Xenopus tropicalis: one gene and its partners. The protein of the gene in region 1 interacts with the protein of each later gene in a biochemical or structural test. Links are inferred from orthologs where the notes say so. Each region holds a gene or a part of one and is shown on either strand. Other genes may lie near its edges.

Evidence for each region.
Region 2: the proteins of usp21 (region 1) and yod1 form a complex in vitro, tested with the Homo sapiens proteins (2 studies listed by BioGRID, with this or other methods). The link is inferred for Xenopus tropicalis from reciprocal best matches to the Homo sapiens genes USP21 and YOD1.
Region 3: the proteins of usp21 (region 1) and aurka form a complex in vitro, tested with the Homo sapiens proteins (2 studies listed by BioGRID, with this or other methods). The link is inferred for Xenopus tropicalis from reciprocal best matches to the Homo sapiens genes USP21 and AURKA.

What each region holds. Positions count from the first base shown.
Region 1 is NC_030684.2:142,754,264-142,757,763, forward strand, and holds part of usp21 (ubiquitin carboxyl-terminal hydrolase 21), read right to left. Parts: intron 3,333-3,500; coding exon 3,273-3,332; intron 3,156-3,272; coding exon 3,032-3,155; intron 1,096-3,031; coding exon 984-1,095; intron 675-983; coding exon 537-674; intron 266-536; coding exon 201-265; intron 1-200. UniProt on the Homo sapiens protein: Deubiquitinates histone H2A, a specific tag for epigenetic transcriptional repression, thereby acting as a coactivator.
Region 2 is NC_030678.2:62,950,483-62,954,539, forward strand, and holds the start of yod1 (ubiquitin thioesterase OTU1), read left to right. Parts: upstream 1-1,257; 5' UTR 1,258-1,275; coding exon 1,276-1,558; intron 1,559-1,888; coding exon 1,889-2,595; 3' UTR 2,596-4,057. UniProt on the Homo sapiens protein: Hydrolase that can remove conjugated ubiquitin from proteins and participates in endoplasmic reticulum-associated degradation (ERAD) for misfolded lumenal proteins.
Region 3 is NC_030686.2:6,088,050-6,092,089, reverse strand, and holds the start of aurka (aurora kinase A), read right to left. Parts: upstream 2,801-4,040; 5' UTR 2,746-2,800; intron 1,126-2,745; 5' UTR 1,117-1,125; coding exon 1,075-1,116; intron 640-1,074; coding exon 342-639; intron 1-341. UniProt on the Homo sapiens protein: Mitotic serine/threonine kinase that contributes to the regulation of cell cycle progression.

The DNA of each region.
Region 1 (3,500 bases):
TATATTCACTTACCCAGGGGGAGGTTCCTGTCTGACCATGGGAAAGAGAGCAGCCCAGGAGCAGGAAGTACAGAGAATCAGAGCTCTGTACATGGGTAAGTACTGGGGGGAGATTGGATTCACTTACCCAGGGGGAGGTTCCTGCCTGACCATGGGAAAGAGAGCAGCCCAGGAGCAGGACACAGACATTGAATACTTACCCACTATTTTGCTGTCTTCTCTCTCCAGGTAACGCTTCCACATCTGATTGGCTCGTTCATCATCGCTGAGGGAAAGGAGAAGCACATTATAGAACACAAGTCTGATCAACATTTCATAATTGACCCACCAACCCGCCCAGTCTCAGGGGTCAGTAGTGTCCATCCCTAGTTTGCCCTGCATGTGGGTTGTTCTCCTCCCTATGGTTACTAAAGGGGATGGGGTTCCTGGTATGATAAGGGGCCAGGAATGCCACAAAAGCAAACATGGGTGCCAAGTTGCACATGATTATCTCTGTGGGTGCTCCAGAACCCTATGTGGGCCCCAGGCTCCAATACCTGAGAGAATCCTGATGTTCCAGTGCTGCGGGGCGCTTGGCGTCAGACAGAATGCTGGGAGTTTTCCTGCCCTTCCGATTGATTTCCACGTGAATCCGATCCATAAAGAATTTGAGGAATTCCTGAGCATCTTGTTGGCTGCAGGACAAGACACCATGTGATCCTGGGCGGAGCTAAAGCAATTTGGGAATCCCGCAGCCCCCCTCCCCCCCCCCCCATTTGATTTTGCGGAACAATTCCTAAACAGACACCCGGAGTAAATGGGATTGGGAAGTGTGAGTGCAGCCACAAATAGCAGCGGCTTAGTAAGGGGGGGGGGGGGGGGCTAAGCTCCGCCTCCCCGCACTGCTGCCCCCTGCTAAAACTGGGATTAGGAGAAGAAAGTGACAGGAGGATTATGGGAGCAGAACTCTCTCCTTCTGACTCTGGGGGGGGGCAGTGACCAACCTGTAGCCGGTGAAAGATGGCACATATTTCTGGAAGACTGCCTTTAACCGCGCCGGGTTTGCAGCGTCAGGGGGGTCGGGGCTCCACAGGGACGCAATGACATCAGCGAAGGCTGAAAGCGACAACGAATATCACACGGCGTTAAGCACAGAGATAAGGAGATTACATGGGGGCATAACTAGCGGGGTCTTCTACATATATAGTCTCCCCTGTTCCCTCTCAGCCTCCCCCCTATTCCTTTACTGTATCAGTCCCACCGGCCCTGCTGGGAGGCAGTTCCCTGTATCTATGCCCCTTACTGTATCAGTCCCACCGGCCCTGCTGGGAGGCAGTTCCCTGTATCTATGCCCCTTACTGTATCAGTCCCACCAGCCCTGCTGGGAGGCAGTTCCCTGTATCTATGCCCCTTACTGTATTAGTCCCACCGGCCCTGCTGGGAGGCAGTTCCCTGTATCTATGCCCCTTACTGTATTAGTCCCACCGGCCCTGCTGGGAGGCTGTTCCCTGTATCTATGCCCCTTACTGTATCAGTCCCACCGGCCCTGCTGGGAGGCTGTTCCCTGTATCTATGCCCCTTACTGTATCAGTCCCACCGGCCCTGCTGGGAGGCTGTTCCCTGTATTTATGCCCCTTACTGTATCAGTCCCACCGGCCCTGCTGGGAGGCTGTTCCCTGTATCTATGCCCCTTACTGTATTAGTCCCACCGGCCCTGCTGGGAGGCTGTTCCCTGTATTTATGCCCCTTACTGTATTAGTCCCACCGGCCCTGCTGGGAGGCTGTTCCCTGTATCTATGCCCCTTACTGTATCAGTCCCACCGGCCCTGCTGGGAGGCAGTTCCCTGTATCTATGCCCCTTACTGTATTAGTCCCACCGGCCCTGCTGGGAGGCTGTTCCCTGTATCTATGCCCCTTACTGTATCAGTCCCACCGGCCCTGCTGGGAGGCTGTTCCCTGTATCTATGCCCCTTACTGTATCAGTCCCACCGGCCCTGCTGGGAGGCTGTTCCCTGTATCTATGCCCCTTACTGTATCAGTCCCACCGGCCCTGCTGGGAGGCAGTTCCCTGTATCTATGCCCCTTACTGTATCAGTCCCACCGGCCCTGCTGGGAGGCAGTTCCCTGTATCTATGCCCCTTACTGTATCAGTCCCACCGGCCCTGCTGGGAGGCAGTTCCCTGTATCTATGCCCCTTACTGTATCAGTCCCACCGGCCCTGCTGGGAGGCTGTTCCCTGTATCTATGCCCCTTACTGTATCAGTCCCATCTGCCCTGCTGGGAGGCTGTTCCCCGTACCTACCCCCCTTTCTGTAAAGTAGCACTTCCCTATGTTCCCTTTCAGCCTCCCCCCCTATTCCTTTACTGTATCAGTCCCACCGGCCCTGCTGGGAGGCTGTTCCCTGTATCTATGCCCCTTACTGTATCAGTCCCACCGGCCCTGCTGGGAGGCTGTTCCCTGTATCTATGCCCCTTACTGTATCAGTCCCACCGGCCCTGCTGGGAGGCTGTTCCCTGTATCTATGCCCCTTACTGTATCAGTCCCACCGGCCCTGCTGGGAGGCTGTTCCCTGTATCTATGCCACTTACTGTATCAGTCCCACCGGCCCTGCTGGGAGGCTGTTCCCTGTATCTACTCCCCTTTCTGTAAAGTAGCACTTCCTTATGTTCCCTTTCAGCCCCCACCCCCCTATTCCTTTACTGTATTAGTCCCACCGGCCCTGCTGGGAGGCTGTTCCCCGTACCTACCCCCCTTTCTGTAAAGTAGCACTTCCCTATGTTCCCTTTCAGCCTCCCCCCCTATTCCTTTACTGTATCAGTCCCACCGGCCCTGCTGGGAGGCTGTTCCCTGTATCTATGCCCCTTACTGTATCAGTCCCACCGGTCCTGCTGGGAGGCTGTTCCCTGTATCTACTCCCCTTTCTGTAAAGTAGCACTTCCCTATGTTCCCTTTCAGCCTCCCCCCCCTATTCCTTTACTGTATTAGTGCCACCGGCCCTGCTGGGAGGCAGTTCCCTGTAACTAACACAGCAAGACTATAGTTGCCACCTACCTTCGGTGAGCTCCTGCTGTGCCTTGCAGCTTCCTGGCTGTTCCTGTCGGTATTCCTGGCGCAGAATGTAGTCCCGTAAGGGCTTGGTACTGCTCAGACACTGCAGCACGGCGTTCATGAAACACTGCGGGGTCCCACAGACAGGAGGATTTAGCAAACATGGCGTGTTGGGGGGGGGGGGGGGTACGTTCAGCACAAGTGCACTCTGGGACAGCTGCTGTTGTTAAAGGGGAAATCTTACCGTATTCCCTAAATTCCGCAGGCCGACGTGACCCGAGCCGAGGGCAGGAAGCCGGGGGGGCTGCAGGGAAACAGAGAGGGGTGAGAATATGGGGCTTTGGCTTATCGGAGAGCACACATGGGGTACAAAGCCACAAGGGATTGGGAGGTGCCATTGACATTATATATATATATATATATATTACAGCACTGCTGCCTGGGGAGGTCTATGATAGATTTAAATAACCCC
Region 2 (4,057 bases), on another chromosome or scaffold:
TAGATAGTTAGAACTCACTTATAACTGACTGCCTTTTCTCTATATTTGTATTTTATATGTAGGAGTTGTAGCACATTTGCATCTGATCCCGCCATTTCAACTATATAAAAGGAGTATTTTTAGAAAAAAATGGGGTGTGTTAATTGGGGCGTGGCCACAAAAGTGGGCGTGGTCAAAAAAATCTTTTTGTCCCTCTTTTCGGTTTTCAAATGTTGGGAGGTATGCTTAAAGTACGTGCCTATTTTTATATCTCTGGCTTGGAGGTAAATTTGGAAGCACAGAGACTTGAGGCTACCAAATTGTCAATCACAGTCCTTATTTGGCATCCCCAAATAGCTTTTTTTATGTTTGTGTGGCTCACCAACAATTTTTACATCTGAGTTTGTAGATCCCTGGTCTAGCGAGATAAGACATCTGAATTTACTGTCTGACAGGGTTTCCCCAGGCCGGTGTTTTACTGGTCTGGCTGGTAAAATTGATGCCTGACATCAATGTTATTAATAGGAAAGAAAGATAAAACTATAGGAAGGCCAATATTTTTTTCCAAAAAAGATGGCAAACCGACCATCAGACAAAGAGTCAAAGATCTGTAGGATGTTTAAACTGCACTTTTTTAACTGGAGGCTGTGTTAAGAAAGACAACATTCAAAACTGGGGAGCTACTAAACAAAATGCTACATAATAAAAAAAAAAAAAAAAGAAATAAAAAACGAAGACCAATTTGCAAACTGTGTCAGAATATCAATCTTGTCATCACACTAGGGGCCACATTTACTTATCCACGAACGCTCTGCCTTGTTTGTTCGATCGGTCCAATCGTATTTTCCATGACTTTTTCGTATTCTTAGCGTGAAAAACACAGATCGGTTTTGCCGCTGTTTACAATCGTTCGGTACGAAAATTTTATGACTTTCGGATCACCAATACGATATTATCGTGACTAATACGATTTTTTCGTAAGCATTTTCATGATATTTGCGATCTTCGTTTCCAATCCGAATTTTTCCCATTCGGGATACGAAACTCTTGTTTTGATAAACCTGCCCCTAAAAGTTTATTCCAAAGTGAATAACCGCTTTTACAAATGCAATACTATTAGGTGGTAAGACTCAGTAAAATCACTGCCTGAATTCAGCTGTGCCATCTTCTGTATCACAGCTCGCACTTCCTACAGCCATGCAGCAATTAGATCCTCAACTAACCCAGGATGCGCTTTTAGGAGAAAATCCCGCGAGAGTGCGTTGCCACTGGTAAGAGAACTTCAAATCGCCGGAAATGACTCAGTGCCTTTCCTGTATTATCGCCGACAATAGTTACTCTATTTCCAGTGCTTTCATATATCTGTGCATTATGTTGCGGCTTAGATGTAAAACCCGAGAGGGTACCCAGCTCCTACAAGGTCTCACAGACCGCTCCAGTATCCGGGAGTTGCAGGAGCGCATAGCAGGTCTTACAGGTATTTCAGGGCCCCAGCAGCGCGTTATGGTGGGCTTTCCCCCTGCTTCCCTGGACTTGAGCGACGGAGAGGCGACACTAAAAAATCTGCCCATCAAATCTGGTGAGGGCGTTTAATAGTCGGTGTGGTTGTGGTGGAAGAATTTTGTTTTTTCAGATAGGAGGGGAGTAAGCAAACTGTCGCATAGTGGGTAATAGACATTTGTAGGTTATAAGATTCGTCAGGCATATGATTAAGTTTGCGCTAATTTGTACAAGTTCAGTTGTCTGTTTCATGGGCTTTGATAATATTGGTGTGTACTTCAGCATTTTTTTTCTACTAATATGTACTGATTGTGAAAATATAGTATGAAAAATTAAAAAACTTGTGCTCATAATAAACATACCTTATCTTTAAATAGATTGGTTTTTGTTTTCTTTCTGTCCCTTACAGGGGACACACTTATTGTGGAAGAAGATAAAAGTAAGCTGAAATCAGAAATTCCGCCAGTTTCCAAAACTGACCTTGGTAATTGGAATGCACCAGCACAGCCAACAATTGTCCGGAGGGTAGTTCCAGCAGATAATTCATGTCTGTTCACAAGCATTTATTATGTGGTAGAAGGGGGTGTTTATGACCCGGCATGTGCCCCAGAAATGCGCAACCTCATTGCGGAGATTGTGGCCAGTGACCCATCTACTTACTGTGAGGCTGTTCTTGGGAAAAGTAATGAGGAATATTGCACATGGATTAGAAGAGAAGACACATGGGGAGGTGCTATTGAAGTTTCCATTCTATCCAAATTCTACCAGTGTGAGATTTGTGTGGTAGACACTCAGACTGTACGGATAGATAGATTTGGGGAAGATTCTGGTTACACTAAACGAGTTTTACTCATTTATGATGGTATCCACTATGATCCATTACAACGTCTGTTTGCAGATCTTGACATGCCTCCAATGACTGTCTTTTCGACAACAGATGATGAGGCTCTTGTCCAGGCTATGGAGCTTGCAGATGATGCTAGGAAGAAGAGGCAGTTTACAGACGTAAACCAATTTGCATTGCGTTGTATGGTGTGTCAGAAAGGGTTGACTGGGCAATCAGCTGCAAGGGATCATGCTAAGGAGACAGGGCACACAAATTTTGGTGAGGTGTGACATCAGACAGCTTTATGACTGCTTTATGAGTCAATGTCAACTACCTCACACAAACTAAAACCTAGGTCCATGTAAAGCAAAACCTGGTTTTACTGTTTATATTAACAACCCCCCCCAATACAAAAAAGGAACACAAGATTGTAGCTGCAAACAAACAGCATTGCTTTGATGATCTGAAATTTTCATTGGCAGATAGTATGGCAGTAAACTAGTTTATGGTAGAGGTGTTTGATTCTCTAGCTAAGTATTTGTTCCAATAAGAAGAAAATACCCCCTCACTTAGTATCGCTTAGTAATATATGCATGATTCTAAAGTATTTATTCCAATTCAACATAGGTCAAATTATATTTAAAATTTCTGCTTTAGTTTAAGTTTACCTTAAGTTTTTGAGTACTTTTGTGCAATTGGATATGCTAATGATTCAAAGTTTACAAAATGACAAGTACTGTAAATAAATACAACCAACTTGCATTAGAATATCATTTGAACTTCTTAAAAACATAAATATATATTTACACCCTAGCACACACAACGTATATAGCCACTTTCCTCAGAGAAAGTAGTCTGCATGTGGTTACTATAAACTGGAAGGTCACTGTGCTGCTTGCACTATATGCTTAATTGTGATGCCATCACAATCTCAGAGAATGCTGCCTATGTTCATTATGAAGCTAATTTTAAACATGTAAGTTACAGAAGCTGGTATTTATTAAATTTATCTAACGTGCTGTATTTTATTTAAGGTTGTGTTCCCTAATGATGGTAGGTTTCTAGGGATCTGCTGGTGCTGTTACGTTTTACAGAAATTGGTACTGACATTTTTTTGTTTAAGCTGTTTTACTTAGTGAAGCCATAATGGCACATGTGGACTTCAGCTGCCTCTCTCTGCTTGCCACTTCTTTCCATTTGTGCAGTAGAAGTGATAAGTGGACCTCTTCTATGGAACAGGAGAGTTAGCATTTTTAGATCAAAAGTCCACTTGGCAAATGCTGCATGTCCTTTATTTACCATGTTCCCCATAACTTGCTTTGAAAAGTGTAGACAGGAGTAGTGGGTTATTTTGATTGCATTTTCTAGGTTGCTCCTTACTGAATAGTTTGTCTAGATTGGGGCAAAGGAACCACATTATTTGTGTCTTGGAAGGCACATGGCATCTCCCAGAGTTTTACAGCTTTATCTGAACTCTGCAGTATTGTGGTTTTCTGTTGCTTATGCTGCCCAGTGTGTCGCCCTGGTATGAACAAGGCTGACCCTATGTTCCCCCACTGACAAGTAAATATTGCTCATCTTTACCAGTGAGTGTTTTGGAAATACTCCGTGTCATTAGCAGGTAATTAGAAATCATAGGAGCTGATACAATATAAAACAAACTCCTGGGCCCAACCATGCAGTTTTATCTTTCTAGGCAAGTAATTCAATCATTAAGATAATAAATTCTAGGTATTAAAAAATGCACGTTTA
Region 3 (4,040 bases), on another chromosome or scaffold:
CAGCCACCGGCCAGAGGCAACGCGGCCCAAAGCACACAGCCACCGGCCAGAGGCAACGCGGCCCAAAGCACACAGCCACCGGCCAGAGGCAACGCGGCCCAAAGCACACAGCCACCGGCCAGAGGCAACGCGGCCCAAAGCACACAGCCACCGGCCAGAGGCAACGCGGCCCAAAGCACACAGCCACCGGCCAGAGGCAACGCGGCCCAAAGCACACAGCCACCGGCCAGAGGCAACGCGGCCCGAAGCACACAGCCACCGGCCAGAGGCAACGCGGCCCGAAGAACACAGCCACCGGCCAGAGGCTATTGCAGTAAGCTCTCAAGTCCCAGGGCACTTACTGGAGGAATGGCTGGTCTGCTGTGGAGTACGATTCTCATTTGGTCCCTGTGGTTTGCCAGCCTGATGCCCATGAGTTACTGGCCTCAGTGGCCCCTGAGTCATTGGCTTCTGAGTGGACATAACAGGTTTCTGAGCGGACATAACAGGTTTCTGAGCCTGAGACACGACTCGCTGTGGCACATTGGAGGGACCCAATATCCTCTGGGCAGAGACGGCAGTCCCAGGAGGTCTAACCTGGGTGCTCGGAGGCTGGGTAACTGGGATACGTTTGGGACCCTCCATTGTGGGGTGGAAAACCTACAGTAAAGAAAAAGAGAAACCTTAGTAAGAATAATCAAATGCCAAACCATGGATGTAAAGATCTCTGGGAAACAACTTCCCTGGGCAGCTAAGGATGCTGGGAATTTCTTAGCACAGACTATGGTCAGTAGTCTGACAGTTCTTTATTACCAGGGAGAATGCATAACATTAAAGAGAGAAACCCAAAAGACTTTTACAGACATTAAACTGAGCATTTTGTGGCGCAGGCAGAGGAACGTCGTGTTACCGGCGCAAGGGCAAGTATTCCCTCCTTCTGCCTTCCAGTGTGATCGAGTTACTGAACTACACATCTCAACAGTTTACATCTCACAGCGATAAAGATAATCACCTACTGAGGCGCAGGGGAACTTAAATACAAAAAGAAATAGTGGCTCCCCAAGTGCTTAGTAACTTGGGCAGATAAAGACTTACCTTGACATTAGAAGGAAGATTCTCTTTAACAGCCCGTTCCATTATATGTGCCTGTCACCAACATATTCAGTTATATAAACCGTCAATAGAAACCGAGCAAACATTGCAAGTTCTTATGCTTAGAGAGATTTGGGGTGAGTGAGTAATCTTATTAGGCCCATGGTACCCCTGGAACTATAGCGGGGTGACTGTTACCCCAATGTTTCTATATATCTGTAACCTTGTTATGGGCTAAGGGGGCCCAGCCTGAAGGCCAGTTAGGGGGGGATTTGGGGTGAGTGCTTATTTGTGCCCTGGGTACCCCTGGAACTATAGCGGGGTGACTGTTACCCCAATGTTTCTATATATCTGTAACCTTGTTATGGGCTAAGGGGGCCCAGCCTGAAGGCCAGTTAGGGGGGGGATTTGGGGTGAGTGCTTATTTGTGCCCTGGGTACCCCTGGAACTATAGCAGGGTGACTGTTACCCCAATGTTTCTATATATCTGTAACCTTGTTATGGGCTAAGGGGGCCCAGCCTGAAGGCCAGTTAGGGGGGATTTGGGGTGAGTGCTTATTTGTGCCCTGGGTACCCTGGAACTATAGCGGGGTGACTGTTACCCCAATGTTTCTATATATCTGTAACCTTGTTATGGGCTAAGGGGGCCCAGCCTGAAGGCCAGTTAGGGGGGATTTGGGGTGAGTGCTTATTTGTGCCCTGGGTACCCCTGGAACTATAGCGGGGTGACTGTTACCCCAATGTTTCTATATATCTGTAACCTTGTTATGGGCTAAGGGGGCCCAGCCTGAAGGCCAGTTAGGGGGGGGGATTTGGGGTGAGTGCTTATTTGTGCCCTGGGTACCCCTGGAACTATAGCAGGGTGACTGTTACCCCAATGTTTCTATATATCTGTAACCTTGTTATGGGCTAAGGGGGCCCAGCCTGAAGGCCAGTTAGGGGGGGATTTGGGGTGAGTGCTTATTTGTGCCCTGGGTACCCCTGGAACTATAGCAGGGTGACTGTTACCCCAATGTTTCTATATATCTGTAACCTTGTTATGGGCTAAGGGGGCCCAGCCTGAAGGCCAGTTAGGGGGGGGATTTGGGGTGAGTGCTTATTTGTGCCCTGGGTACCCCTGGAACTATAGCAGGGTGACTGTTACCCCAATGTTTCTATATATCTGTAACCTTGTTATGGGCTAAGGGGGCCCAGCCTGAAGGCCAGTTAGGGGGGGATTTGGGGTGAGTGCTTATTTGTGCCCTGGGTACCCCTGGAACGATAAGGATCACCCTTTTTCCTGCTGGGGGGGGGGGGGGCAATCATCTCCAGACTGGGAGCCCAAATCCAAAATCCCACACATTACCAACTCCCAAAACTCAGTCATGGATTAACACTAAATACTAAGGCCTGTATGGGCCCCACACAAACACATGGGGGGGGGGGGGGGGGCAATACTAAGGCCTGTATGGGCCCCACACAAACACATATGGGGGGGGGCAGTACTAAGGCCTGTATGGGCCCCACATGAGCCAGTGCCACTGGGAGATGCAGTTTCATTGGCCCATAAAGATAACCAATGGCTGAAGCACAGAGGGTGCAGCTGTTACAGCCCAGAATATATAACTCAGTTCACACAACACTCCCGAACCATATGAAACAAAGCTCCCCATTGGCCCAGTCACACACACACACCTGGCAGCCGAATGTGCGGGCCGGGACTCTAGCAGCTCTCACACAGACCGGATTGCAGCAGCTGAAGCCACGGACAGACACTGGTTAGCGGCAGACGCAAAACCGACAGCTCCGCTTCCCGTCAGGCAGAACACTCGCCTCACTTCCTCCAACCGTCACAGCCCACTCCGATTCAAATCGCCCGCTTTTAAATCCCTTTAACCCGCTCCGAGCGCTGATTGGCTGCAGGCGGTCAGCTGCCTCGCTTTGATTGGTGGAGAGCGGAGATCCGTTAGGTATCCGAGTGACAAGAGCTTGACGCGCAAGGCGCCTGCGCGTTGGTGTGTGACGTGTTAGACGCTGGCCTGTCGCGCCTGTATGACGTATAGTCGGGTCTGGGAGCGCTTTCTGGTTTGAAAGAGTTTTATCTGGGCCTTTACTGAGTATCTGTGCGCACTTACCGGCATAGCCCCGCCCCGCCCAGGAACCGGAAGCCTTTCTGCTCGGTGAGTATCCTGCCCGCTCCCTCTCTGCCAGTCACTATGTGCTGCCCGCTATTATATCCCATACACACAGCAATATGGCTGCCCAATGGCTCCGGTGCATCGGTCCCTTCCCTGCACTGCTGGTTCTGACTCCTGATACAACTCCCCAATACCCATTCATTCCTCATTCTCACTGGGTTTATAGTTATGTGTAACTGTCACTGTGTCTGTCCCTTTCCCTTCCCTGCACTGCTGGTTCTGACTCCTGATACAACTCCCCAATACCCATTCATTCCTCATTCTCACTGGGTTTATAGTTATGTGTAACTGTCACTGTGTCTGTCCCTTTCCCTTCCCTGCACTGCTGGTTCTGACTCCTGATACAACTCCCCAATACCCATTCATCCCTCATTCTCACTGGGTTTATAGTTATGTGTAACTGTCACTGTGTCTGTCCCTTTCCCTTCCCTGCACTGCTGGTTCTGACTCCTGATACAACTCCCCAATATCCATTCATTCCTCATTCTCACTGGGTTTATAGTTATGTGTAACTGTCACTGTGTCTGTCCCTTTCCCTTCCCTGCACTGCTGGTTCTGACTCCTGATACAACTCCCCAATATCCATTCATCCCTCATTCTCACTGGGTTTATAGTTATGTGTAACTGTCACTGTGTCTGTCCCTTTCCCTTCCCTGCACTGCTGGTTCTGACTCCTGATACAACTCCCCAATATCCATTCATTCCTCATTCTCACTGGGTTTATAGTTATGTGTAACTGTCACTGTGTCTGTCCCTTTCCCTTCCCTGCACTGCTGGTTCTGACTCCTGATA